Linked DNA regions of Macaca mulatta. The protein of the gene in region 1 purifies or fractionates together with the protein of each later gene. This does not show direct contact. Links are inferred from orthologs where the notes say so. Each region holds a gene or a part of one and is shown in the gene's direction. Other genes may lie near its edges. The genes, in order: PML, RPL11, CTNNB1, RELA, RARA, ZMYM2 and ZFYVE9.

Region 1 (4,154 bases):
ATAAATGAATAAAGCTTCCCCAGCTCTGCCTCCTCAGCCAATCGCCTCTGGCCTCCAAAGCCCCATCCTGCCATAGCCCACTTCCAGGTCCCTTGTGCAGATGGCTGCCCACCGTATTTGGCTTTCATGGACTGATTCTCTAAAGGCCTGGGAGTACTGACCAGGCTGGAGGGAAGGGCAGGCTCCTGAGGCCTCTTACAGTCCCTAGGAAGTTGGGTATCCACCCAACCCTTGACCTCCAGCCCGCATACTATAAGGTTTACAAGAGCCAGGCCCTATCATCATCCTTTCTAGTCTGTTTCTAAGTTGGAACAGAGTACAGAATGGGTACACAGGAGCCAGCACAGTGGTTGCGATGGTTTAAGTTTGAAGCCAGGGGCACTGGCCCAGTGAGGTCACCTGGAGCTGTGCCCTTTCCCCCTCACCAGCTGGGAGTCTGGCATGCTTTTCCACTGGTGAAGACCTAGCTGGCTCTCCCCTCTCCCTCTTCATACCCGCTCTCCAGCTCTCCCCCTCCCTCCTGCCCCCACCACCTCACATCCACCAGCCTTTCCAGCTGTCACTCAAGGCGTCACCCTGCTCCCTCACCTCCAGTCACTGGCTTCCCAGGATCTCTGACTCAAGACCCTCCTCTGCATCCCACAGCCACTGTCCTAGACCAGGGTACGTGCCCCTAGGTTGTTAGAGTGACTGTCCCATCATGCACAGCTGATCATGTTGTTCCCTGGTTCCAGATCCTTCACCAACTTCCCATCACTCCCAGAACTGGTCCAATCTCCTTAGTTAGGATCTTGTCCCAGCACAGTTCTTGGGCATCATTTCTCATGAATTCCCTCTTAAATCTGAAAACGGCCAAAACTAGTTCCCAAACAGGCTTTCGTGTTTCAAACTTCCATGCCTTTTGCAAGAGCTATCTTTTGTGTTTCCAGTGTCCCCTGGACCCCACCACCTACAGCCCTGAATCCCTGGTGAATTCCCACTGCTTTTTCAGGTCCCAGCTGAGGGCTCTCCTTTCCAGAATGTCTCCGTTTGCAAGCTTGCTCTTCCATTACATCTGGGGCTCTTAAAAAGCAGGGGCTGCGTGTGGCTCATATTTGTGCGCCCAGCTCCCGGCAGGAGGTGGCACGAAGCAGTGCCAGTGTGAACTGATGAATGGATCAAACCCGGGGGTGGGGCTGCCCCTCTGCAGCTCTGCCCTGCCTCTCCCGCTTTACCGTAAGCCAGCAGTAGGTCTGCGGCTCCCCGCCTCTCCTTCCTCCCCGCTCTGGGCGTGTCTTTAAAACCCACAGTCGGCCTCTCTGCCCCTAGAACCGCCCCCAGCTTCTGTCTCACTTCCTCTCCAGAGGCGGGCCCTGAGCTGGCACCTCCCCTTTCGGACAGCTCAAGGGGCTCAGCCAACTGGCTCACGCCTCCCCTTTAGTTTCTTTTCACGCCCTCCAAGATCTAAACCGAGAATCGAAACTAAGCTGAGGTCCATGGAGCCTGCACCCGCCCGATCTCCGAGGCCCCAGCAGGACCCCGCCCGGCCCCACGCGCCCACCATGCCTCCCCCCGAGACCCCCTCGGAAGGCCGTCAGCCCAGCCCCAGCCACAGCCCTACAGAGGTACTATTGGGTTAGGGGATGATGGGGTTAGGCTTTATTGGTTTGCTGTGGTGGGGAGAGTGGGGAAGAGAGGGTCTAACGGAGGATTTGGTCAAGTACGCTAGAGAGTGACACAAAGCGGAAAGACCACACACCAGGGTCCTGACCTTCTTGGCTGGGGCATGGGAGGGTAGGATAGAGTAGAAAAGAGGACCCGGAGGAGTTGGGGCGGCCTCGCTGGGCTGCGGTTTCTCCACGGAGCAGTTGGGCAAGGTGAGAAGGGTCAGTGGCCTCCGGGCCTGGGCCCTTCCGCCCACCCTCGAGCCCTGCCTCAACCCTGCCTCAGATGCAGGACCACAGATTAGGGAGGATGGAGGTGGTAGCCCTGTTGCGCTGGCCTGGAGCCAGGAGCCTGTCCCAGGCACAGCAAAACTAAAACCAACTTCCCAGATCCGAGGTGAGAAACTGTGGCTCAGACTGAAGAGGTATCTTTGCCAAGGCCTCCCAGCTCATGTGGTTTCTGCTTAAGGAAGCCTCCCTAACAAACCCTTCTCTTGCCACACCTGTCCTGCCTACCTCCCACCTCCACCCCCAAAGGAACTACTTGGGTTTCTTGTTCTGCTGCCTTCCAGGCCCTTTTGCTCCCCTTCATGAAAGTACAGAGGACACTGTATTACAGTAACTTTTATAAGCATTATTACAACTAAGAATAACATTACTTAACAACACTAGCTAACATTTATGAGCACTTCAAATGTGCCAGGTACTGTATTAAGCACTTTGGTTTTTTTTGTTGTTTGTTTTGTTTTGTTTTTTGTTTGTTTGTTTATCTGTTTGTTTTTGAGATGGAGTCTTGCACTGTCGCCCAGGCTGGAGTGCAATGGTGCGATCTCTGCTCGCTGCAACCTCCTCCTCCCGGGTTGACGTGATTCTCCTGCCTCAGCCTCCTGAGTAGCTGGGATTACAGGCCACACCACCGTACCTGGCTGATTTTTATATTTTTAGTAGAGATGGGGTTTCACTATGTTGGCCAGATTGGTCTCTAACTTCTGACCTCGTGATCTGCCCACCTCGGCCTCCCAAAGTGCTGGGATTACAGGCGTCAGCCACCATGCCCGGACTGCTTTTGTATTTTAAAAATTGTGGTAAAATATACGTAACGGATAAGCTCCTATGTTAACCATTTCTAAGTGTAACGTTCAGTGGCATTAAGTAGATTCACAATATTGTGTAACCATCACCACCATCTATTTTCAGAACTTTTTAATTGCTCCAGAAACTCTGTACCCTTTAAACCATAGGGGAGGGAAAGATGGCTTCCCTCCACCCTTCTAGTTTCCTTGGCTGGGCTATGAATTAAATAGTCATAAAATAGATTAACAGGGGGAAAACCCATATTTAATTACATATGTATACTCAGGAGTCCCACAAAGTATGAGACTCAAAGAAAGGTCAGATGATTGAAGCCTATATAACATCCTGATCCACAGAAAAGAGCTTGGAGCTTCTGGGTGGTGATGATGACACAAGTTATGGGAGGGTGAGGAGAGGAGCTGTTGTCTTGCTATGTAGATAAAAAGTTCTTAGATAATAAGAGTTGTCTGGAGCAGCCCTCTTTTAATATAGACCATTTTACTAATGTAGATTTTCTTTGGGATGCAAATGCCTTTCTGTTTTACAAAAGGAGAGCTTTTCAGAGCTATTCCTGTATCAGCAGTTTCTCAGAATAACCAGCTTAAAATATGCCAACAAAGTATATTTCAAGGGTGGCATATTCTGGCCTCCTGCAGTCATATTTTGAAGTGGTGTGTCCTGAGTCTCAGTAAAGCAATAGCTCCTCATTTTCTCCTTCCCCTAGCCCTTGGTAACTTCTAATCTACCTTCTGTCCCTACAAACTTACTTATTCTAGATATTTCATATAAGTGGAATTGTTACCAGTAGACGGTCTTGACCGCAAGTTGTTCAGGTTCTTGGCGTTTTGAACAAAGAATTGGACAAAATGCACAGCAAAGCAAGGAAAGAATGAAGCAATGAAAGCAGAGATTTATGGAAAATGAAAGTACACTCCACAGGGTGGGATGGGTTGGAGCAGGGCTCAAGGGCCCAAGTTACAGAATCTTCTGGGTTCCAAATATGCCCTAGAGGTTTCCCATTGGCCACTTGGTGTTCACCCCATTGGTTGTAGAAAGCAACCAATCAGAGGTGCTTTCAATTTTCCATCTGCCAGGCAGGAAATGGGGTGTTTTGCAAAGAGAGTAGCCTCTGGTCCTTTTGTTACTTGGGCGTGGAGAGTTCGGGTTTTCCTTTGGATTTAGTTCTAGGAAGTCAGAGGGAATCGGCCTTAGGTTCCCTGCCTCCAGACCCTATTCTCCTGCCTCAGAATCATACAGTATTTGACCTTTTGTGTGTGGCTTATTTCACTTAGCATAATGTCATTGAGGTCCATCTATGTTGTAGCATGATCAGAATTTCATTTCTTTCTAATGCTGAATAATATTCCATTATATGTGTAGACCACATTTTGTTTATCTATTCATCTGTTGATGGATACTTGGATTGTTTCTACATTT
Region 2 (4,250 bases), on another chromosome or scaffold:
TTGTTTGTTTATTTGTTTTAAGACAGGGTATCGCTCTGTCACCCAGGCTGGAGTGCAGTGGGGTGATCTTGGCTCACTGCAAGCTTCCTCTCCCAGGTTCAAGCGATTCTCCTGCCTCAGCCTCCCGTAGCTGGGATTACGGGCATGCACCACCAGGCCCGGTTAATTTTTGTATTTTCAGTAGAAACGGGGTTTCACCCTGTTGGCCAGGCTGGTCTCGAACTCCTGACCTTAAGTGATCCACCCACCCCGGCTTCCCAAAGCGCTGGGATTACAGGTGTGAGCCACAGCGGCTGGCCTGGTGGCGGGTGGGGTGGGGGCCGGTGGTCGCTGTTGCTTCACAGCTGATCCAGGTTTTCCGGTGATGCTCCTCTGCTGCTTAGTTGCCCTGAACACATTACTTTTTCACGGTATTAATGGCATAGCATATATTTTGCTGTGAAGTACTCATATGTGAATAAGCATAAGAAAGTATTGCTTATCAGTAGCATATACATTTACAGTCTGGAACAATGGTTAGGCCAACCAACCAGAGACTGTCCACAAGGGTGGCTGAGATAGTGACACCTTTGGTTTCTGATGGTTCAATGTATACAAACTTTGTTTCATGAACAAACTTACTTAAAATATTGTATAAAATTACCTTCACACTATGTGTATAAGGTGTATATGGAACATAAGTTAATTTCATGTTCAGACTTGGGTCCCATCTCCAAGATATCTCATTATGTTTATGCAAATATTCCAAAATCCGGAAAAATCCCAAATCCAAAAACCATCTGGTCCCAGGCTTTTCAGGTTAGGAATACTCACCCTGTAGTAACTTGCCCAAGGTCACATAGCTACTAACTGATCGAGACAGGACCACATCTGCCTGTCTTCAAGCTCGGGACTCTTGAGCTACCACACCATTCCGTTTGTATAAATTCTATTTGTGCCCGGCGTGGTGGCTCACTCCTGTAATCCCAGCACTTTAGGAGGCCAAGGCAGGTGGATCATTTGAGGTCAGGAGTTCGAGACCAGCCCGACCAACATGGTGAAACCCCATCTCTACTAAAAGTACAAAAAAAATAGACAGATATGGTGGTGCGCGCCTATAATCCCAGCTACAGAATAAATTTGCGTCATAATTTGCATGATTGATTTAATGTAGTTTTGGCGGTCTCATCACACAAGCACCACCAGCACCTGACACTGGGAGGAGAGAACGTCTTCAAGGTCCGGAAACTCAAGGTCGTGCTGATTCTAGGAGCTTTCAAAAACTATTTTTGGAAAACCCAAATCCCGGTCTTCAGCCAGCGTTGCTTGCAGTTGCTAGCCCTACCCACAAGGGGGAAGCCGACGCTGCACTGCGCAGCCAAATGCGCCTCTCTTCCTCTTCTTGATCTCTGTGGTTAGCCTGGGAAAAAAGCCCGCCTCCTGGCCCATAAGGCCCTGGGCCGGAAGCTCCGTTTTCTTTTCCTGCACCCCATCATGGCGGTGAGTAGCTGGGATCTGGATTTGCTTTTCTTTATCCGTCGCCATCCATGGCAGGCCGAGCTTGCGGGGGCTACCTCGCCTGCAGCCCGAGGAGTATGGACCCCTCAATGCTTGCCGGCCCAAAACTGGCAGAGCCGTTCGAGCCAAGGACGCAGGGTTGAATTCTGTCACTTTCCCTGCCATCATTTTAGGAGCGGCTCCGGGCAGTTGCCGGGAGAGCTCAGAAGCACTGTCAGGAGGCTGCAGCTAGGGCAGATGGGGTGAATGGAGGGTTCTGAGGCAAGGGTCCGCGCCTTTTCCTGGTTCCGGGGACTTGAGACTTGCTGAGTGCTAGGAAACCTTAGCCGGGTGCTCGGCTTAGGGAAGGTGCCAGCCTTTAGACAGCTTCCGAGTGGGATGCTGAACGTCGCATAACCACGTGTTTCCTGTTAGCAGTTAAGTTCTATTCCGTCGCTTACTCCCCTTAGTTTCCCTTACAGTGGGGGCGCTCTTTGTTATCCTGAGCCTCTTAGAGTTCGATCTCAGTGTCCGTAACCTTTAACACTCAATACCTGTCCTGAGTTTTCTCTTCACCTGTTCCGTTCGTGGAGGAAGAATAGGTCCCGAGCTGACTTCGTTCCTTGATGCCTCCCAAACACGGTGATACCTTCTTCGTTACGATTTGGGATGAGCAGAAATAAAAATGCTGTGCAGATAGAAAGTAGTAAAAACTCAGGGCTCTCAGCTGTGAGTGTATTGACTGCTGCTCTTCCCCATTGCAGCAGGATCAAGGTGAAAAGGAGAACCCCATGCGGGAACTTCGCATCCGCAAGCTCTGTCTCAACATCTGTGTTGGGGAGAGTGGAGACAGACTGACCCGAGCTGCCAAGGTTTTGGAGCAGCTCACAGGGCAGACCCCTGTGTTTTCCAAAGGTGAGTAGTGACAAATGACAGGGCTACCCACTTGGGTCGCCTGTTTGTTTAATTTACCTGCTGTCGAGTCTGTTTAGAAAGTGACAGTCGGCATCACTTAAAGCGTTAAATTCATGAGCCGACCAAAAAGTGTCTTTGTTTTCGAGATTGCATGTGGGATTGGAACACTGGATTTTATATGAGCAGATCTTAAGCTAAGGCTAGCCCAAGTAAAGATTTTCCCAAGTAACTAGGATATGAGATAGAGTGGAAATACCAGGAACGAAGTAAAGATCATTAGATCTGATTAGCAGTTAGGGTTATATAGGCTGCCTTAAGAACAGGGCTGTACAGGAGCATGAGAGGCTTCAGTGGCCTATGATAGTGCTACTGCACTACAGCCTGGTTGACCCTATCTCAAAAGTTGTATACAGATTGCCTGGGTTTGAGTGATGGCTTCACCACTTGCTGGTCTGACTCTGGGCTCTCTGGACCTCTGCTTTTTTATTTGCATAAAGAGGGTGTAATACTTGATAATTGTGGAAGATAAAATGAGTTGTATATGTGCCGTTGCTTTAGGATGGTGAAATGTGGCAAGTCTTTGGATTCCAATCCTGCTTTTTATTACCAGTTGTGCAAGTTAATAAACCTCTCAAAACCTCACGTATAAAATGTGGACAACAGTATAATAATAAGGTTTTAGCAAGTACTAGATTATTGTCAATAATGCTTTATTTTCTTTGGACCATGATAATCTTACTAGTGACTTCTTTGGCTTATTCTGGTTGTGAACTTGCCCTTCTTGGAACTTTGGCATTATGACTGTTCTTAACTGCTGAAGGATGGCTGGATGTCTGGAAATGGGAAAATCTGCTGTGGATGAAATCTTATTAATAGATGTAGGCGACACTAATTAGAACACCACAACTTAGAGTGTGGATGAATACTTAATGCCTCTTTAAGTCATGGAGATGGTGTTCTGGGAAGGAGGTGAGTGTAGTGGGGGTGTGATGGCATCTGACTCCTTGTTACCCCCTTTCTGCAGCTAGATACACTGTCAGGTCCTTTGGCATCCGGAGAAATGAAAAGATTGCTGTCCACTGCACAGTTCGAGGGGCCAAGGCAGAAGAAATCTTGGAGAAGGGTCTAAAGGTGAGGCTAATCCCCTAATGGAGTGATATTAATGAGCACCCACTTAATAACACAAGTAGATAAGTTACATTTAATGTTCTGTTCTTTGGTGCCTTGACATTTATTATTTAAGTTTCTAAAAGACTTTTTACAATCAGCAGGGTTAAACTATTCTTGGTGGTTTAAGAGATGCTTGAGGCTGGGCACAGTGGCTCTACGCCTATAATCCTAACACTTTGGGAGGCCAAGGAGGATAGATTATTTGTGGCCAGGAGTTCGAGACCATCCTGGCCAATATGGCGAAACACCATCTCTACTAAAAATATAAAAATTAGCCAGACTTGGTCGCGGGCGCCTATAGTCCCAGCTACTCGGGAGGCTGAGGCATGAAAATTGCTTGAACCCGGGAGGTAGAGGTTGCAGTGAGCTGAGATTGTGCCACTGCACTCCAGCGTAGGCCACAGAGTGAAACTCTTGTCCAAAAAAAAAGGATGCTTGGGAGTCATTTCATTCCTCTGCTTTATCTGGGTTTTTCTCTGTTCTTTGGAAGCTGGGAGAGGTCATTTTGGGTAGTTGGGGTGTAGTGAGGAAGTCAGATTGTGTTCCTAGCCAAGTTTTATTGACTTCTGTTTTGTTTTTTTGTTTTTTTGTTTTTTTTTTTTTGAGACGGAGTCTCGCTCTGTCACCCAGGCTGGAGTGCAGTGGCCGGATCTCAGCTCACTGCAAACACCGCCTCCCGGGTTTACGCC
Region 3 (3,497 bases), on another chromosome or scaffold:
CTCCAACTCAAAAAAAAAATAAATAAATAAAGGAGAGCAAATTACCAGTGAGTGGTGTGTTACTTGGGTTTTTAATAGGCATCTTATTAACATGTTCCAACTTGAGCCCTTAACTTTCTCCACCTACCCCCTTCCACAAACCTGTTTTGACTGTCTTCTCTGTCTTGATGTCAGCTTTGTCTGTCCAGCTGCTCAGGCTAAAACTTTTCTTTCATACAACACATCCTGTCAGCAGCTCCTGTTTGGGGGTAGGCATTTTGCCTGTTTTTTTTTTTTTTAACTGCTATATCTCTAGCACGTAGAACAGTGCCTGGCAGCACATAGTTGGTGCTTAATATGTATTTGTTGAAAGATCAAGTCAGTGAGTATTTTTAATGTGAGGTGCAAAGAGAAAAAAATGTATCTTTGAGGGGTGGAGTTTTGAAGAACTTCCATTTTCTAAGTATTTGTGTAATGTTGGAGTTACTTGTTTCCTTTGTAATCTGAAAGTATGCTTTAAAAAAATTAGTGTACTTTTAAGTTGAGAATTTTCATTTTGCTTTTTATTCTTTCTTGCCTTGTGCCTGTTTATCTAGACTGCGGATCTTGGACTTGATATTGGTGCCCAGGGAGAACCCCTTGGATATCGCCAGGATGGTATGCGTCTCATATTTCTCGATTAACTCCAGATCAAGCTAAAGTTCTAAAACTTGATCAGAAGAGCTGGTTTGCTCATCTGGGAAACTAGTGTTGGCAGAAAAGTAATGGCTTCAATTAAAAGCAGTTCTTAAATTCCAGTCAGCAACAGTATCTTTAACGGAGCACAGGGAATTCAGAGCCACACAATGAATAGCAATAGGATTACACCACCAACAAATACATGCTACTACTAGGCCTCTGCAGTGTAGGATGTTACAGTTTACCTGGCTTTTTATTCTCTTTTTGGCCAGAGGACTCATAATACCTTTTGTCTACAAGCTACCCAAGGAAGACAGGAAAACTCCTGTCTCTAGGCTCAGATCTGGGGTGGGTTTTTACATAGTTGCATTATCAGGGTTTTCTTGAAAAGCGAATTCACATCTGGGTAATGAACATAGAGGATGGGGTAGACCAGTAACAGTTACAACTGTCTTACATTTATAACCTCATCTGCTTCTACCTAATTATGAAACCACTAAAGCGCAGATTCTTACTGTGACAAATAACATGTCAACCCTAAGATAAAATATGTTGAGGTTTCATTGAAATAGTGCCTTAACTTTCCTTAGTACTTTTGTTGGTGTCACTTGGACTTTTTGTCAAGATAGATTACACCTGCCAGACCTCATTATTGTCTTAATCCTCCTTCCCATGAGTTCTCATTGCCTAGGTGGTCACACAGTAGATTCCTGCTTCTCCTTCTTGGGAACCCCAAGTCTGACAGGGGTAAATGCAGTGTGTTCAGGGTTAGACTAATGATGTGACTAGGCCCTGCTGGTGTGCCTCTCTGATGGAAACAGACGTTATTTGTGTAGTCTCATGGGTGGTCTGGCACTGAGTAATTACTTGGCTAAAAAAAGCTAGAAGTTGAAGAGGCTAGAAAGCATTGTTTTCTGACAAGTTTGCTGCTGAACTTTGGATGCCCTAACCTCAGTGTTAATGTCTATGTCTGTTTCTCTCCTCTCTCTTTTGCCTTCCTTCTTGCCTATTTTGTTCATACCCTGACTCTTCTAGATCCTAGCTATCGTTCTTTTCACTCTGGTGGATATGGCCAGGATGCCTTGGGTATGGACCCCATGATGGAACATGAGATGGGTGGCCACCACCCTGGTGCTGACTATCCAGTTGATGGGCTGCCAGATCTGGGACATGCCCAGGACCTCATGGATGGGCTGCCTCCAGGTGATAGCAATCAGCTGGCCTGGTTTGATACTGACCTGTAAATCATCCTTTAGGTAAGAAGTTTTAAAAAGCCAGTTTGGGTAAAATACTTTTACTCTGCCTACAGAATTTCAGAAAGACTTGGTTGGTAGGGTGGGAGTGATTTAGGCTATTTGTAAATCTGCCACAAAAACAGGTATATACTTTGAAAGGAGATGTCTTGGAACATCGGAATGTTCTCAGATTTCTGGTTGTTATGTGATCATGTGTGGAAGTTATTAACTTTAATGTTTTTTGCCACAGCTTTTGCAACTTAATACTCAAATGAGTAACATTTGCTGTTTTAAACATTAATAGCAGCCTTTCTCTCTTTATACAGCTGTATTGTCTGAACTTGCATTGTGATTGGCCTGTAGAGTTGCTGAGAGGGCTCGAGGGGTGGGCTGGTATCTCAGAAAGTGCCTGACACACTAACCAAGCTGAGTTTCCTATGGGAACAATTGAAGTAAACTTTTTGTTCTGGTCCTTTTTGGTCGAGGAGTAACAATACAAATGGATTTTGGGAGTGACTCAAGAAGTGAAGAATGCACAAGAATGGATCACAAGATGGAATTTATCAAACCCTAGCCTTGCTTGTTAAATTTTTTTTTTTTTTAATATCTGTAATGGTACTGACTTTGCTTGCTTTGAAGTAGCTCTTTAATTTTTTTTTTTTTTTTTTTTTTGCAGTAACTGTTAGTTTAAGTCTCTCGTAGTGTTAAGTTATAGTGAATACTGCTACAGCAATTTCTAATTTTTAAGAATTGAGTAATGGTGTAGAACACTAATTCATAATCACTCTAATAATTGTAATCTGAATAAAGTGTAACATTGTGTAGCCTTTTTGTATAAAATAGACAAATAGAAAATGGTCCAATTAGTTTCCTTTTTAATATGCTTAAAATAAGCAGGTGGATCTATTTCATGTTTTTGATCAAAAACTTTATTTGGGATATGTATGGGTAGGGTAAATCAGTAAGAGGTGTTATTTGGAACCTTGTTTTGGACAGTTTACCAGTTGCCTTTTATCCCAAAGTTGTTGTAACCTGCTGTGATACAATGCTTCAAGAGAAAATGCGGTTATAAAAAATGGTTCAGAATTAAACTTTTAATTCATTCGATTGTGTCACTCTTTTTTTTTCTTGTCATTAAATGGTGAGGGTGGTAAGTTTATCCAACTCAACTTTATACTGAGGAAGATACATAGTGAAGTAATTTGTTATAGCGATAGAGAGGCCCTTCTCTAGATGCAATTTGCCAAGTTTCTTCAGCATTTGGCCCTGGGTTACATTGCACCCCCAAAAACGTGTTTCAGCCTTGCACATTGTGATTAGTTCTGGGCTTTTGTGGGAGAAAGCCAAGCAGACTGTCTATCATCTATCTCTCTCTACCCCAATCTCCCCGATGGTTTGATTCCATTAAGGTAATGAAATATTAACTACCTGGATTTGGATTTGAATCACCTTCACACAAGTGTGACTCATTGGGAGAGGGGAATTCCTTCAACTCTACTTTGAACTAATAATTAAATAGGTTTAAGTGATGATGTTTATCTGAACATAATCAGAACCAGAATGAGCCTTCCACACTATCTATCTGCCAGATGATCCTATCAGTCA
Region 4 (3,500 bases), on another chromosome or scaffold:
ATCTGCCTGTCTCAGCCTCCCAAAGTGCTGGGATTACAGGTGTGAGCCACCGCACCCGGCCCAACACCCTGTCTCTTAAAAATAAATAAATACACAGATAAATAAACAAGGTGCTGTCAGAGTAACAATTTCAGTCCTGAAAATAAAACAAAGTCATAGGATAGAAGGATAACCTGGGGTGGGGGAGTTACGGGAGCTGGTGTGATGACTTTAGATTGGAAGGTCAGGGAAGGCCTCCCTCCTTGAATGGTGAGAAGGAGGAGAGAAGTAGGAAAAGAACATTCCAAGCCGACCAAACAAGTGCAGAGGCCTTGAGGTGGGAATGAGTGTCCTGTGTTTAGAGAATGGAAAAGAAGCGCCTGTGGTTGTAAGCAGGGAGCCCACGGGGAGGCTGGCAGGGGCGGGGGCACGGAGGTGCTTGTCAGCTGAGGGAAGGGACAGGGTTCATTGCAGCACAGTAGGAAGCCACTGGAGGGGGTCAAGCATGGAGCGATGGTCTGGGGGTGGGTGGGGGAGGAAGGAGCAGGCTGGGCAAGGCAGGAAGGTCCGGGCTGTGTGAGAGACAGCGGGACAGATGGCTGGGGGTGCTCAGTTTCCAGAACCTGGGAATCCAGTGTGTGAAGAAGCGGGACCTGGAGCAGGCTATCACTCAGCGCATCCAGACGAACAACAATCCCTTCCAAGGTGAGGGCTACCCTGCCTGCCGCCCCCGCACCCTCTGCCACCCTCCCTGGCCCGCCTTTCCTGCATCTCCCTCATTGGCCAGTACACGGTAAAGATGGACTCTTGGTGCCCATTCGGTACTCTCCCACTTTGCCATTGGGAAACTGAGGCCCAGGAGGGGACATGACATTCAGGTCACAGTGGAGTCACTGCTGGGTTCTGCCTCCTCTAGGACTTGTGTTTTACACACTCGCCAGCGGCCCTCCCAGAGCAGAGCTCCCTGCCCCAACTGGTCACACCTATATCCCCACTTCCCCTGCTCTCCTGATCACCTGTTTTCTTGCCAGTTCCTATAGAAGAACAGCGTGGGGACTACGACCTGAATGCTGTGCGGCTCTGCTTCCAGGTGACAGTGCGGGATCCATCAGGCAGGCCCCTCCGCCTGCCGCCTGTCCTTTCTCATCCCATCTTTGACAACCGTGAGTAGCGAGGGAGACACAGGAAGGGGAGAGGGTGGGCCTGGATAGGAGGAAGGGGTTGGGGTGAGTGTGGCCTGCAAGAGGTGCTCTGATTCATCAGTCATCTTGTGTATTCATCTTCTCTTCTGTGCCCAGCTCTTTGTTGGCTGGGGAGAGAAGGCAAAGAAGACCCAGAGCTGTCCTTGAGGTGTAGCTCCGGCCTGGCAGGGAGTCTAGCAGGGAGTCTGATGGGAAATGGGCATTTTCAGTATCGTGTGATGAGAAGGTGGTGTGCCCACAACTGCGATAATGACTCTAGGAAACGAACTCCCAGGAATAAGATAGTGTTCGAGAATGATGCTTCAGTGACAGAAGCCCGCAGACGAATTGGGCTGACTGATCAGCTGCAGTCTTTAATTAAGTAACCAGCAGGATGAATGGAAATAAAACGACTCTGGAACCCCAAAGATGGGAAACCAGGATAAACTGGGGGTCAGGAGGGAAGGGCTCATTGCCAAGGTGGGTATGGACTGACCTTAAAGATTGCTTTGGTCAGGTGGAGACACAGTGTGATCAGATTGGCACTCACTGGACTATAAGCTCCGTGAGAGCAGAGGTTTAGGTTTTGTATGTGGTTGTATTCTCCTTGCTTAGATCAGTAGGCAAATACTTGTTGAATTGGTTGGGGTGAGGAGCTAATAAGAAGGTCTGACTGTGGCTGCAAAGGTGTAGGTGGCAAGCTCTGGGCAACCTTGACTTGGGGCTAGGCAGGGAAGTTGCATCTCCTGCAGGCCACCCCGGGGACCTCTGGTGGCTCAGGTCATCCTTCCTTGTTCTCACTGCCTCAGGTGCCCCCAACACTGCCGAACTCAAGATCTGCCGAGTGAACCGAAACTCTGGCAGCTGCCTCGGTGGGGATGAGATCTTCCTACTGTGTGACAAGGTGCAGAAAGGTATACATCAGGAGGCAGGGGTGGGCTCTTGGGAGCAAGGGGTGAAGCTGAGCAGAGACGGGGCGTGGCAGGCAACTGGCTTTGGATACTTCCTCCTATGCCTCAGGGGCCTCAGGTGGGCCGAAGGGTGATATTAGAAGACAAGCATCCGAAGTTGAGGGGGAGACCGTGGAGGGTTAGACACACTGACCCACACTGCCACCCCATCTCCTGCAGAGGACATTGAGGTGTATTTCACGGGACCAGGCTGGGAGGCCCGAGGCTCCTTTTCACAAGCTGATGTGCACCGACAAGTGGCCATTGTGTTCCGGACCCCTCCCTACGCAGACCCCAGCCTGCAGGCTCCCGTGCGTGTCTCCATGCAGCTGCGGCGGCCTTCCGACCGGGAGCTCAGTGAGCCCATGGAATTCCAGTACCTGCCAGATACAGGTACACAGCTGGGATGGCAGCATCAGGGCAGCTGGGCTCTGCCATGAGAGAGAGGCCAAGACCGCATGTCTGGGGCTGTAGTTGAGGGCCAGAAGCTGGAGTCAGAGCTTGGGATTTATATGGTAATTGGAATCCATTTCTTGCCACATTTAATGATAAGGATACCTCAGACGTTGAGCTAGTACTACACATCTGCCCTATTCCAGGCATTTCACTGGATCACCTGATTCTAATGTCATGACCCTTTTGAAGTAGGAGATAGTGTCTGACTTGCTTGGGTTCACGTGGCTAGTAAGTAGCAGAGTCAGCATTGGAACCCAGGCCATCTGGCTTCAAGGTCCTTTTGCCACACTGGTTGTCTTGTCACTACCATAGAGCTCAGCCACATTTTGGTCAAGGTTTGAATGTCTACTTGGTACCAGGGCCTGTGCCAGGTATTGTGAATACAAAAAATGAGTAAGACAGGCTCCCTGCCCTCAGAATCTCAGTCACTTGAGGAAGACAAATATGCAAAACAGATCCTTAAGTCACAGAATGACATGTGAAACAGAGGTGTGTGCAGAGCAGCACGGGGGCACGGTGGCCTCCGGGGAGCTGGAGACAGCTGCATGGAGAAGGTGGCGTTGAAGCTGGAGAAAGACACGGAAGTGTGTTCTCTAGGCAGGTGGCCAAGCACCTGGAAGGGAAGGGGTGTTGGCAACTGCACGGCCTGTTTGGGGGCATCTTCGTGGTTTGAGCCGATGTTGGGCAGTGAGCAGGCTCAGAGGAGGGCGTGGTTAAGCTGAAGGCCTCTAAGCAGAGAAGTGACAGGAGCAGATTTGGAAGTTGACTCAGGAAGCCACATGTAGAAGATCAGAGACGAACAGACTCAAAGCGGGGAGGCCATTCTGGAAGATGTTGCTGTAGTCCAGGAAAAGAAGATGCGGCACAAACCTCGTAGAAGGAATAGCGAAGCAAGATCACATCTCCGCCACTGTCCTCAGTTACCCTTCAGCCC
Region 5 (3,500 bases), on another chromosome or scaffold:
CTCTGTGGGGCGCTGGAACTTTGAGCTGAGAAGGTGTGGTTCTCTAGCCTGAGTCCTTCTGCAGGAAGAGGAGAGATTGGTGGGCTGGGCCTCTGGGGAGGGAGGTCAGCAGGGAGGGGCCAGGCCCGGGCAATCCCTCCCACGTTGGTGTCCCTCCCAGCCCCACCTGTGTGTGCAGGGAGTTATGGCTGTGTCCTACCTCTTGCAGAGGTTGTGAGGATTCCGGAGTCCCCCACACCTCCGCCTTGATCCTTGTACCTCACCTCCTTGGGTTGCTGGCTGGAGGCCTGGGGAGGTGGGGCCTCGAGCTCTGGGCTCAAAGGGCAGAGCAGGGAAACCTCAGAGCTGGGTTACCTGGGTGACAGGTGGGGATGTGCTGGAGGGTAGGGGGCAGGCTTGTTACAGCCTCCAAGGCAGCCAAGCTGCCATTGGGTAGGCTAAAAGGAGGCCTTGCCTAGCCTAAACTGTAGTCCTCGCCTCTGGTCATCTCTCCCATTCTGCCAAAAAATGATTTTAAAAAGCACATTCTTTCAGTTCTGTAAACACCCTCTGTTGGACTTTGCTTTAGCTCCACGTTTTTATGGGTCTTTACCCTCTGGTCTGTCCCAGGCCTTGGAGCTGTTTACCCCTCCTTCTGGTATCCCCCATGACTCCCCATACCCTAGCTCCCCTCCTGACACCCCACTCTGTGCCCCAAACCTCCCTCAGTCCTTTCTCCCTTTCCAGTCTGTTTCATTTTAGAAGTGGGGCCTTGGGAGAGGCGGGGCCCAGGGCGAACGGTGGATTAGGAGGGGTGGGGAGGTCGGTGCCTTCTTCCTCTGCTGGTCGGAGTGCTCAGCGAGATTCTAGACCATGGTCCCCCCAGCCCTCCACATACCCCCTTGCCCTTGATCCCCCTCCCCCCGCCAGTCTGGATTGTCTATTGTTACTGCTTTTACGTCTTGGAAAAAGTTAGCACAACAAAGGGCTCCTTTGTGGCTCACCCCTTCTGCCTCCTGGCCTCACCCAGGCCCCCCAACCCCACCTCCCCCCAGCAGCTGTTCTCAGGCCTCTCAGCCTGTCTGATTTGCTTGTCTGGCCTGGGGAGAATGAGGTGGGAGAAAACCAGGCCAGGGCAGTTGGTGTTGGGGTGAGGAGCAGACGGGGGTGGGGGGCGGGCAGGGGGAGACGGGGGAGGTCAGGAGAGAATCTACTGGGCTGGGGGCAGTGTGGGCATCAACTGTCCCATTGCCGCAGGCTGGTCTGGGGCAGGGAAGGGGATGAGGGGCCATAGCAGTGCTGGTCAGCCAGGCTGGCCAGGAAGTGGTGCCCAGGTACTACTAAGAGCCAGGAAAGCCCTGCCGAGGTTGTTGGCCTAGTTCCCTGTCATCAGCCGCCTAGTAGCTCCCCCTGTGTCTGCAGGTAAGGGCAGAGGGTGGTAGCACAGAGTCAGCCCCTGGTGTTCCCATGCTTCCTTCCCCTGTGCCCCAACTTTAGGGCCATGTGATTTGGGGCCATGTGACTCATGTCTGTAAGGTGCCTGGGCCAGGCGCTGTGGGCACCTTTAAATGCCAGCCAGTTTCATGTGCTGGAGTTTGGGGTAGGGCTCAGTAGGACTGTGGAATATGGGAGGAGGCAGGGATCTGTCTACTTGGCGAGGCATCCTCATCCATCCTTGGCCCTGGACAAGTGGACTTGAACGTGGTAGGCCTCAGGACGATGCTGGGTGGCCCCTTGGGAATCTGGGATTGCCTCAGTCATAGTTCTTATCTTGCACCCAACACCCTTAGCTGCCCAGGCTTTGGACACAGATAGCCCCTGCCCAACCCAGCCCTGTTCTGCCTACAGTGATGGGTGGCATGGAGCCAGGCACTGGGGAGGATTTGGCCAGTGAGGGCTGCCCCTGCTGTCTGGGTCACCCCTCCTGGCTGCCCTCTTGGAGCTGAATAACAGAAGGGGAGGGGTACTAACCCGGACATGGTATTGAGGCCAGACAGACAGAGCATTGATGGGAACAGACCCCCTTTGTCATGCCGTCTCTCCCCAGATGGGGGGTACCCAGAATGATGGGATTCTGGGGCCCTGGGGACTCTTCTCCCTGTATTCAGGGTGTCTCCCTGCCTATCTCAGGGAGACACCTCCTGCTCTGCCCAGCATTTGTGACTCTTGTTTGCACCCCCTGCCTTGGGTCCCTGGCCCTGGGATTGTTTGGGTGGAGGAGGGGCTGTGGCTGCTGGCAGAATGGGGTGGAGGGGGGAGCGGAAGCAGAGGGGGCGGGGGAGTGGCCAGCTTTGAATATCCTGTTGACCCCAGTTTCCTCTGCCCCCGGCTTGTGTCCTCTTCCCTCCCTCCTCTTCAAGCCTTAACTCCTTCCTAACTCGGGGGAGAACGGGGCCAGGCCGCCCAGGGGCAAGAGCTTTAGAATCAGGGTGACCCCCACCCCTACTCCCCAAGCACAGTCACGGCACACATACAAATCTGATGGTTTATCATTGTCTCTTTGTGGTTTTGAAGGTGTGGGTCCTAGGAATCCGGAGGAGTGATGGGGCGCTGGAGGCTTCATTGGCAGCCTCCTTCCCTGAGTCTGGCTGGGGAGTCCCAGTTTTCTTAAGACTTGAATCCTGCCAGCAGTGGTGAGGCTGGGAGAGGCTCTTAGGAGGGACTGTGAGGCAGGGTGGAGCTTGGTACTAAGGATGGCGGCCTAGGTCTCTAACTGCCCCTCCCCTCTTCTCTCTCTAGCCATTGAGACCCAGAGCAGCAGTTCTGAAGAGATAGTGCCCAGCCCTCCCTCGCCGCCCCCTCTACCCCGCATCTACAAGCCTTGCTTTGTCTGTCAGGACAAGTCCTCAGGCTACCACTATGGGGTCAGCGCCTGTGAGGGCTGCAAGGTGAGTTGAAGGGGTCATTGGGAAGGACAGCTTGATGAGGTCAGTGGGATATCCCCACTTCCGTGTCCTGGGAGTGTGCAGTTGGGGTGGGGGGTGTCCCTGAAGTTGCTGCTGTTGTTTTTCTGTGGAAGTTGGCAATAAGCAGGGACACCTACCATAGGTCCTGCCCCATAAATGTGCAGGGCTCCCTCAAACCAGAGGTCCCCTCCTGCCTCAGCTCCTTTCCCTTTCTCCATCCTCCAGCTGGCAGGGCGTATGCCTGCTCTGCCACCGCTGCCCAGGTTGCCATGGTGAGCTGGCTGCCGACTGGCTCTTGGCTGGGGACCCAGGAGGCCTCCCTCGGCGGCCCTGCCTGAACCTCACCATGGCAGCCTGGCAGGAGGCAGTTAGGAGCAGGCACCATGCCTTGGCTTCCCCTTCAGGTGCCCGGGCTGTGGGCTCCCCGGTGTCTGGCTGAATTTCCCCACCCTCACGTTAGGTGCCAGGGTGCAGGTGTACCCGGTCCTTAGCAGCCCTGTGCCCAGCTTCTCCTCCTTTCCCCAGGGCCTGAGCCTCTGTGTGCATTTCTTCCTCCAGATATTGGGGCTCAGAATCTGCACAGGTTTGGGCCTTGCAGCTCTGGGCTGCTCTTCA
Region 6 (3,996 bases), on another chromosome or scaffold:
ATTTCCCTATTCTAGACATTTCTTGTAAATGGAATAAAATATTCAGTGGTCTTTTGTGTCTTGTTTATTCACTTAGCATAATGTCTTTAAGGTTTGTCCATGTTGTAGCGTATATCAGAACTTCACTCCTCTTTATGTCTGAATAATGTTCCATTGTATGGATGTACCACATTTTGTTTATCCATTCATCAGTTGATGGACATTTTAGGGATGTTGGAAATTATGAATGCTGTTATGAACATTCAAACATTTATTTTTAAAATTACTTTTATGTAAAATTAAGTCTGCTTTTAACATTATGACAAATACTTTTTTCCCAGTTCTAAATTCTCAACGAAAATTCTCCCTGGTATCAGACTAGCAAACCAATGAAGAGTTTCATGGACAAATGTACCTGAATGAACTAAAAAAGTGCATATAAATACCATAATTAGCACAGGTGCTCATTAGTTATATAAAACAGCAATAACACTAGGGAATTAGTAGCAGTATAGAGCTCCAACTGAACAGTACATGGCAACCTAATCTATCATTTAAGTTTATCACAGAGCTTATTTGGAAGTATGTCTACTTTACTCTTCTAAATATAAACTCAATGAGCTGAAGCTACTGCAATACGAGCTGGCAGCAGAAAAGGGATGGTGCAAGTTTTCACCAAATTATTACAATTTGGTAGTAGAGGATGTGTCTGTTTTGATGATAGTGGCTGTTTTTGTTGTGATGTTTCTGTTGTGATGATAGTTTTTCAGTCTAAAACAGCACTGTGTAATATAAAATCTTAAGAGGCTATTTTAGTGTATTTAAAACTAAAAAATTTTAGTTACAAAAGTTTCCTAAAAATTAGTGATACTTTTTGAAAAGCTGGTTCAAGTACATTTTATTAATTTTTTTCAATAGAAAAGAACAGTGTATTCAAGGTATTTAGTACAAGGTGGAAAGCCTACTTTATTTTTCAATGAGTGACTGAATTCAACTTCTACTAGATTTCCTCTGTGAAGTTGCGTCTATTAAACATCAGTCTTTCATGGGTGATTAACTTCACTGAAAACTTCATGTTCATCAATATCGTGTTGAACTTGAAACTGTATTACCATACATCTGTTTATTAATAGGCAATGGTGTCAGATAATGGTGAAATGGAGAAGTCGCCCATCCATTTGGGTGGGAAAATAACCAACACCCTCAGTTGTAATCCCACTAAGAACCGCCAGGGCGAGAAGCAAGCGGCACCGCTTCCATCTTTACGTGAGTCTTGGAAATGGTTCAGCACCATGACGTCCGCCGAAGACGTAGGTGTAGACGAGGAACAAAAGAGAAGACCCCTCGTGGAGGTGGCCTGTGGGGCCCGCCCTCCCCGGGCGCCGTCGCCGTCTGTCCCTGACTCCGCTCCCCCGGGGGCCGCAGCGAGTGCGCCCCGCGATGGAGCGGGCTGTGGAGGGAGCCTCCATGGAGTCTCCATCAACAGTTGAGGACCAGGAGACGGTGGCAGGCGGTAGAGCGGCCTGGGCAGGGCCAGCGCCCCGGGCTGCGGAGCACAGGACGGCGGCGCCCAGGGACGCCCCAGGGCGGGCCTCGGCCCCTCCAGCCGGCGGGAGCCCAGCTCCAGGGGAGCCCGTAGCTCCCTCCATCTTGGTTGATGGAGGCGGGGAGCGGCGTCTGGGTCTCTCCACCGTCGTGCCCGTCCCCTACGGCCCCGCGGACGCAGACGCCAGCAGCCGGGGCTGTTCCCTTGGCCGAATGGCAGAGCCCAGTCGGGGCTTCCCGGGGACAAGTTTCCCGGCCCCACGGGGTTTGGTTTTTAGGGGGTCCCAAGTTCCCACAGTCGTGCCGACAAAATGGAGGACGTCGTCTCCTCCTGCTGCAGCCATGGCGGGAGGTGGGGGACTATTCCCCACGGGGCGCGGCGAGGGTGGAAGGGCCTCCACTGCCCCCAGCGCAGTCAGGGCTCCAGTTCGCCCGCGGCCCCGAAAGCCCACTCGGCCCCGCTCCAGCGCCTCCCCGGCCTCGCCCCTCGCAGGGGCCTTCAAGGAACTGGACAGGGAGGGCGATGGGGCATCGAGGCCGCGGCTCTCCTCGGGCAGGGGCGTTGGGAGCCGCTGCCGCGGCCTGGGCGCCCAGGCTCGGGCGAGGGCAGGCGGCCCCGCCGGAGTCTCCCGGGCTGTCTAGGTCCCGGAGAGCCCCGGGCCCTGAGGAGCCGAAGCGGGGTCGGTGCGGCGGGCAGCGAATCTCGGGCTCCTGACCCTGGCAGACCCGGTGGGTGGGGGCGGGGGACCGGCGGGGAGGGGACCCGGCCGGGAGTCGAGGGCCGGCGGAGGCGGGAGTGGAACGGCAGGGCCGGGGGAGTGGCCCGCACCTGACGGACAGCCCTTCGGACCACCCCACCGAGGGGGGGCCCTGAAGGACTGCCGTTGGAGCCAATGGGCAAGCCCGAGGCGCTCCGGCCCGCCTCCCCCGTCAGCCAATGAGCGCGCGGAGGGCGGGGCCTCCCCGGGCTCGGCCGCGCCGCCGCCTCCTCCGCCTCCTCCTCCTCACCAGCGCTAAAGCCGGGACTGGACCGAGCGGAGTTGTGCGTGTCGCCGAAGGGGGGTGGGCCGGGGGAGGGGAGGTTCGCTCCGCGGAGCCGCAGCCAGAACCGGGTGAGGCTTATCCCCGCTGTCTTTCCAGTCCGGGGCCGCCGAGAGTGGGGGTGGCTGGGAGCAGCGCAGCCTCCGGAGGAGGAGGCGGAGGCGGAGGCGACTAGGGAGGCGGAGATGGGTGAGGGCAGCCTCCGGAGCCTCCCACCGACCCGGGATTAATACCCCGCGGCGCGGCCGCCGTCGCCGCTGCCGCGTCGGGGCCTCGGGGGCAGCTCGGGGCTGCGCTCATGTCACAGGCGCCTTCGCGTGCGGCCCGAGGGGCTGGGAGAGTGCGGGCGAGGCCGGGAGGGCTGGGTGAGGCGGCCGCCAGCGGCGGGGGTCGCGGGGCCGGCGGGGCGGCGGGACGGCGGGGCGGGGGTGCCGGCCGCCCGGGGAGGTCGCGGGGCATTTTCCTTTCTCTCCTGCGGGGGGCGGGGGAGGGGCGCCCCGGCCGGGTCTCCGCGCTCGGGGCCGCGCTCCCACCCTGTCCGCCGGAGCCGAGGTCCCCAAGTTTTTCGGGGTGAGGGCTGCCGCCTCTGCCCCGCCGGGTCCCCTCCTTCGCTCTTCTCTTCCTCGGCGCTGCGCTGCGCGGCTCTTGCTCCGCACGTATTGTTTGGCTGGGTCTCTAATGGCGGACGGGGAGGCAGCGCTGCCGGTCGCCGACTGCAGGGGGGGGCAAACCTCGGGCCCAGGGCAACTGCTTGGGGCAAATGTGGGCGATATCGGCCCAGCGGTGACGCGAGCCGCCCCTTACCTCTGAATTGGTACTTGGAGTGACGGGGATGACGCTGGGTGGGCGAATTTAGGAGGGAATACAAATCCCTTGCTGGCGTCGAGGCAACGTTTTCCCTTCCCCCCTCCCTTCCCGGGAGCAGGCTCGGTGTCCTCAGGCCCCCTCCTTTCCAGATTTTGCCTTTCACATGGGTTTTGGCCCCAGATATACATTTTGCGCTGTTTTGCCCCACTTACGCAGGAGGGGGCTATTGTGCGCGTGGTGGGGTAATAATAGAAGAACCGAACCTCCTTGACCTCTTATTCCCTTCTCTGCCTCCTTCTGGCAGAAAGGGTTGGTTTCTCCCACCAGGTTGTGTGTTCTTGATACATTTTTCTTTTTTCCTCCTGTCCCAGGACCAAGAATCGCCTTCAGCCCTGTCCGGTGCATCCTTGGCAGAAAGTGAGGAGGAAAACACCCCCATTGTGAGTCCCTTGCCCCTAATTTGTTGCTAATAGAGGACATTGTCAGGTTGTAGGGGTTCAGCTACGGGACCTGGCCCTCCCAGTTGTTTTGAGGGGGAGGAGCTTTCCCTTGGGTGGCAGCTGCCCCCAGGGCGAAGCCTGGGTAATGGCTGGTGAGGCAGCTGGGAGTGGGCGCTGCTGTTTC
Region 7 (3,926 bases), on another chromosome or scaffold:
TGACTTAGTCCTTTATTTAATAGATATAAATCTGTTTCTTAGTGTCAGTAGCTCTTCTCATTTAGAGTATATCATAGCATGCATATTTTTCTAGTTCTCAAGACAGGGAAATCTTTTACCAGTGATTTTCATTCTTTATTCTTTATTGGGTCTTGGAAACTTGAATTTTAGGTCTTTTTCTTATTCTCTTATTTTTTATTAAGCACATCATTTTCACGTCTGATAATAGAATATTTGTAATGTCAGGAAATTTTTCTTGCTGCCTCAGTTTATCTTTAACACAGTTTATCTGTGTTCATTAAATTATCTCCAATATACTTACCTGTTCTGAAAATACTATGATTATGTGTTAGATATTTTATACTGATAATATAATATTCATAGTCTTAGTTTTATTCTGATTAGCTTCAACTACTAATCTTGTTCAAGGCTAAATTAGGCCCTTAAAGAATTTTACATTGTCTCTAAGCAGTTATAGTTGGGCTACCATAACTTAATGGATATTGTCATATTTTCACAAGAGGGTAGTAATATTTGAAGAGCCTTTGTCTTTTGCATACACCCCTGATAGGGAAGGTTAATATTGGGTTAATAGATCCATTGCTTCTAAGCAGTTGGAGGAGGACTGGAATGAAGAGACTCCATTTGGAGAAAAAAATAGTTTGGCAGTAAAAATCACAACAAGAAACTTGTGAAACTCAACTTAAGAATTCTGTATGTATTGAAAAAAAATCGCGCTAGAAGGACATTCTTGTGAAGCAGCAGTTTTCTTAGCTTTGGATTCTTGGAGGGCCCATTATAAGGCAAATTATATACTTATGAATTAACACAATTGAAGTCATTGGGTAGAAAGTGCCTGCTGTTGATGTTTCACTTTGCATTATCCATTGAAAATAAACGTGCAAAAACTCTTCTTTGTTGAAACATTTAACTTTTGGCCTTTTCAGACAATAAAATGTCTCTGTTGCTGCCTTGCATGCAAGCCAGGTCTTTGAATCCAAAGGTATAATTGTATTTACTGTTCAAGCCCCATTGCTTTTGTTTGTCTGGCTATGATAGATTTATATGAAGAAAATTAGGGTTTATTGTTTCATCAAGTGTAATGAGCAATGTGTTTTTCATTTAGGATCAAACAGAGCATACTGAATCAGCAGGACTGGCTGGTGGTGCAGCAAGCATGAGTAAGCACCGAGAAGTCTGTTCCTTATCACGTGTGTAAGGGGAAAAAGGTAAGAAAATGTTTTTATTTCTCTTAGAGATTGAACTTGAGAAACCAATGAGATCTATAGAAGATAATACTGATGCATATATGTTATTTGCTTCATTTGTAACATTGTATCTTATTAAATCAGGAGTATGATTTTCTTCAAAAAGATTTGACTTAAATTCAGAGGAAAAGGGTATTTAAAAATCACTGTTATTTTATGTCACAGTGGTCACAATGTTAATTTCCCTACCAGTGCTGGCTCCTTCGTTTTAGAGTTAGTTGAGTATAGAAAGGTAATTTCAGAAAAAAATATGACTTTGAGCAATATTTTAGCTCATGCAAGAGCTAAACAAGTAAAGCTGATTTGGGGATGGGGAATCAGAAATGTAAAGTTAATTACATTATTTTATTTTGTATTTTTAGATAAGTTATTATGTAGAGCAATAATTTCCAGCAGAAAATTGGAAGTATTCTTGTAGAGCAGGAACCCTTGACTTTTTCCTAACTAGGAGTCATGTTGTTTTTTTTCAAGTCTTAAGATTATTTAAGGGTGTGAACCCCCAGTATCTGTGTTGGAAACAAGTGCTTGGTGTAGCCAAAAGAAACCTGCACTTAAGACAGAAATTTTCTCAGCAAGGCACTTTTACTTCTGCAGAAGGGTGCTGTTCACTCCTGTTACAAATGCAGGAGCACACCGAACAAAGGAAGGAAGGAAGGGGCTTTTAACCCTAACACAGTTCCTGTTTCTGTGTCTTTCCCCTATTGACTGGAGTTGGACTGCATAATCTAAGCTGATCCTCACTGGCTAAGGCTTAAACTTTTCCAAATAAGGTAAATGTGTGATTTGTGAAGGGGCAGGGTGGGTAAAGAAGAAATGGTTAGGCTTAACAGAAGAGGGGGTAGGATTGTTTACAACTTATGACCAGGAAGTTGAGTCTTTGAAGAGGAACTCAGTTGTACCAACAATCTCCCCTCTTCTGTCTTATAGTTCTTCATCTTCAAGTTTCTTTAACAGGATCTGGCTATGTTGTTCTTCTTGATTATCTAGGTGCAAGAGCTTATCTGAGTACAGAGGGGGAGAGGTTGGGGAGGTTTTTGTGAGAGCTGCTTCTGTGAGCCTTTGGGTTAACCCACAAATACAGGGTATGATACAGCAACCCACAAGGATGAGTACACCTCTAACAATTGCAAGGAAGGTAAAGATTGAGGTCATGAGTCCTTTCCATTTTCCAGACCACCTTTCCATTAGTCCTGTAAAGGGGTCGTCTATTCCAGAGTTTTCGGCTAGTTCATTTGCTAGGATGGTAAGGCCTTGTAAGGCTTTTATGATTGTCCCGTCGGGGGCTGTATTATTAGGAATAAAATAAAACACTGGACCCTGATCATGACATAGACTTCACCTTTTTTGGCCAACACCATGTCAAGGGTTATTCTATTTTCCCAGGCCATCTGGCTGGTGGGGTCTAATTTCAGCAATTCCTTTTATGGCATCTCTGGTATAATTGATGAATTGCTGCTGATTGTAGTATATGTAATGTATCCAGTCTACATTTTTGTTTATAGTGGACTACCAGAATAATATAGACTCGAACCTGGTGGGTATTTGGTTTTGAGCTTTGAATTCATTTGGTACCCTCTGCAGGACCCCGATGCTGTCTATGTAAACTTGGGGGTCAAAGGACCCATTTATTGGGGCTTCTTTTTTTCTTCTGGTTACCTGCTTCCTGATGAAATGCCAAGGTGAAAGGGATGGCCAATTGGATCAGAGCACAAGTGCCACTCCAGTTGCTTGGCAGTGTTCCAAATATTGGTCCCCCTCTATACCACTATACATCCACTTGGGGATGGACTGGGGCTGACTGATTGGTTAGCTCTTGAAAAGGTTTAGGTCCACTGCATCCCATCAGGTTTCCAAGGAATGTCAAATTTTCCCCTTGTTGTAAGAGACACAAGGTAAAATTGGCATTGAGAGCAGGAAGTCGAATGTCCCTTGGGGGCTGTCCCATAGGGCTCCTGACTTTTGGGAAAAGTAGTGAAAGAGTGGCACATGACTTGTTTCCCCAGGCTGTGAGGTGCTGGAAGAGAGCTACCATACAGTCTTTGCCTGATGGGTTGGCCCATCTGAGTGGGAGGGGAACAATTTGGGTTTCTGGCCTGCCTGTTGCACAAGCGTAACAATCGGTTTTATTTAGGGTGTGAATGGAATATTTAATCCATTCCAGCTAGGCATTTACATCTTGATAACCGGTTTCTATGGCTAGGGTTTGCTGTAAATCCTTTACTTCTACTATAGCTACTTTGGTTTTGTCATTAGACATGAAGCGAGAAATGGTTTGATTTTTGTGGTTTTGGGAAGTGAGTAATGGAGGGAGATGGAGGAGGAGGAGCAAACCTCATTTCAAAGATGCCTGTAGGGTCTTTTGCAGTGACATCCGCTCCTAGGCCATAAAGGCGCTCTAAAGTGGGGATACGGTCGGTGGAGGTGGGGATAGGAATAGAGAGAAGTACTGGGTTGCACTGGTGGTTTTGGCAATTTGAGGGGGTGGTTCCTTTGGTGAAGTGGAGGTAGGGTTTTAGGGTGGTGCAACCCTCTAAGGAGGTCCAGCCCTGATATTTGGTGGTCAAGATAACATCTCCTCAACTATAACATAACCCCTTAAAGGCTTGTGGTCGTCGATTGCAAGGGTCCGGGGTGATACTGGTTTTTCTGCGGGTGGAG

The links.
Region 2: the proteins of PML (region 1) and RPL11 purify together in Homo sapiens (affinity purification with western blotting; 3 studies listed by BioGRID, with this or other methods). This does not show direct contact. The link is inferred for Macaca mulatta from reciprocal best matches to the Homo sapiens genes PML and RPL11.
Region 3: the proteins of PML (region 1) and CTNNB1 purify together in Homo sapiens (affinity purification with western blotting; 3 studies listed by BioGRID). This does not show direct contact. The link is inferred for Macaca mulatta from reciprocal best matches to the Homo sapiens genes PML and CTNNB1.
Region 4: the proteins of PML (region 1) and RELA purify together in Homo sapiens (affinity purification with western blotting; 3 studies listed by BioGRID, with this or other methods). This does not show direct contact. The link is inferred for Macaca mulatta from reciprocal best matches to the Homo sapiens genes PML and RELA.
Region 5: the proteins of PML (region 1) and RARA purify together in Homo sapiens (affinity purification with western blotting; 6 studies listed by BioGRID, with this or other methods). This does not show direct contact. The link is inferred for Macaca mulatta from reciprocal best matches to the Homo sapiens genes PML and RARA.
Region 6: the proteins of PML (region 1) and ZMYM2 purify together in Homo sapiens (affinity purification with western blotting; 3 studies listed by BioGRID, with this or other methods). This does not show direct contact. The link is inferred for Macaca mulatta from reciprocal best matches to the Homo sapiens genes PML and ZMYM2.
Region 7: the proteins of PML (region 1) and ZFYVE9 purify together in Homo sapiens (affinity purification with western blotting; 3 studies listed by BioGRID and IntAct, with this or other methods). This does not show direct contact. The link is inferred for Macaca mulatta from reciprocal best matches to the Homo sapiens genes PML and ZFYVE9.

What each region holds. Positions count from the first base shown.
Region 1 is NC_133412.1:51,727,166-51,731,319, forward strand, and holds the start of PML (protein PML), read left to right. Parts: upstream 1-1,354; 5' UTR 1,355-1,475; coding exon 1,476-1,604; intron 1,605-3,607; exon of another isoform or gene 3,608-4,154.
Region 2 is NC_133406.1:217,305,161-217,309,410, reverse strand, and holds the start of RPL11 (large ribosomal subunit protein uL5), read left to right. Parts: upstream 1-1,450; 5' UTR 1,451-1,473; coding exon 1,474-1,479; intron 1,480-2,240; coding exon 2,241-2,391; intron 2,392-3,415; coding exon 3,416-3,522; intron 3,523-4,250.
Region 3 is NC_133407.1:104,579,637-104,583,133, forward strand, and holds the end of CTNNB1 (catenin beta-1), read left to right. Parts: intron 1-575; coding exon 576-636; intron 637-1,692; coding exon 1,693-1,901; 3' UTR 1,902-1,913; exon of another isoform or gene 1,914-2,218; 3' UTR 2,219-2,997; downstream 2,998-3,497. UniProt on the Homo sapiens protein: Key downstream component of the canonical Wnt signaling pathway.
Region 4 is NC_133419.1:8,731,280-8,734,779, forward strand, and holds part of RELA (transcription factor p65), read left to right. Parts: intron 1-592; coding exon 593-684; intron 685-1,010; coding exon 1,011-1,142; intron 1,143-1,969; coding exon 1,970-2,074; intron 2,075-2,290; coding exon 2,291-2,503; intron 2,504-3,500. UniProt on the Homo sapiens protein: NF-kappa-B is a pleiotropic transcription factor present in almost all cell types and is the endpoint of a series of signal transduction events that are initiated by a vast array of stimuli related to many biological processes such as inflammation, immunity, differentiation, cell growth, tumorigenesis and apoptosis.
Region 5 is NC_133421.1:64,730,025-64,733,524, forward strand, and holds part of RARA (retinoic acid receptor alpha), read left to right. Parts: exon of another isoform or gene 1-33; intron 34-2,493; exon of another isoform or gene 2,494-2,612; intron 2,613-2,718; coding exon 2,719-2,867; intron 2,868-3,500. UniProt on the Homo sapiens protein: Receptor for retinoic acid. Retinoic acid receptors bind as heterodimers to their target response elements in response to their ligands, all-trans or 9-cis retinoic acid, and regulate gene expression in various biological processes.
Region 6 is NC_133422.1:1,840,430-1,844,425, reverse strand, and holds the start of ZMYM2 (zinc finger MYM-type protein 2), read left to right. Parts: upstream 1-1,196; 5' UTR 1,197-1,289; intron 1,290-2,530; exon of another isoform or gene 2,531-2,930; intron 2,931-3,743; 5' UTR 3,744-3,812; intron 3,813-3,996. UniProt on the Homo sapiens protein: Involved in the negative regulation of transcription.
Region 7 is NC_133406.1:188,440,105-188,444,030, reverse strand, and holds the start of ZFYVE9 (zinc finger FYVE domain-containing protein 9), read left to right. Parts: upstream 1-1,126; 5' UTR 1,127-1,229; intron 1,230-3,926. UniProt on the Homo sapiens protein: Early endosomal protein that functions to recruit SMAD2/SMAD3 to intracellular membranes and to the TGF-beta receptor.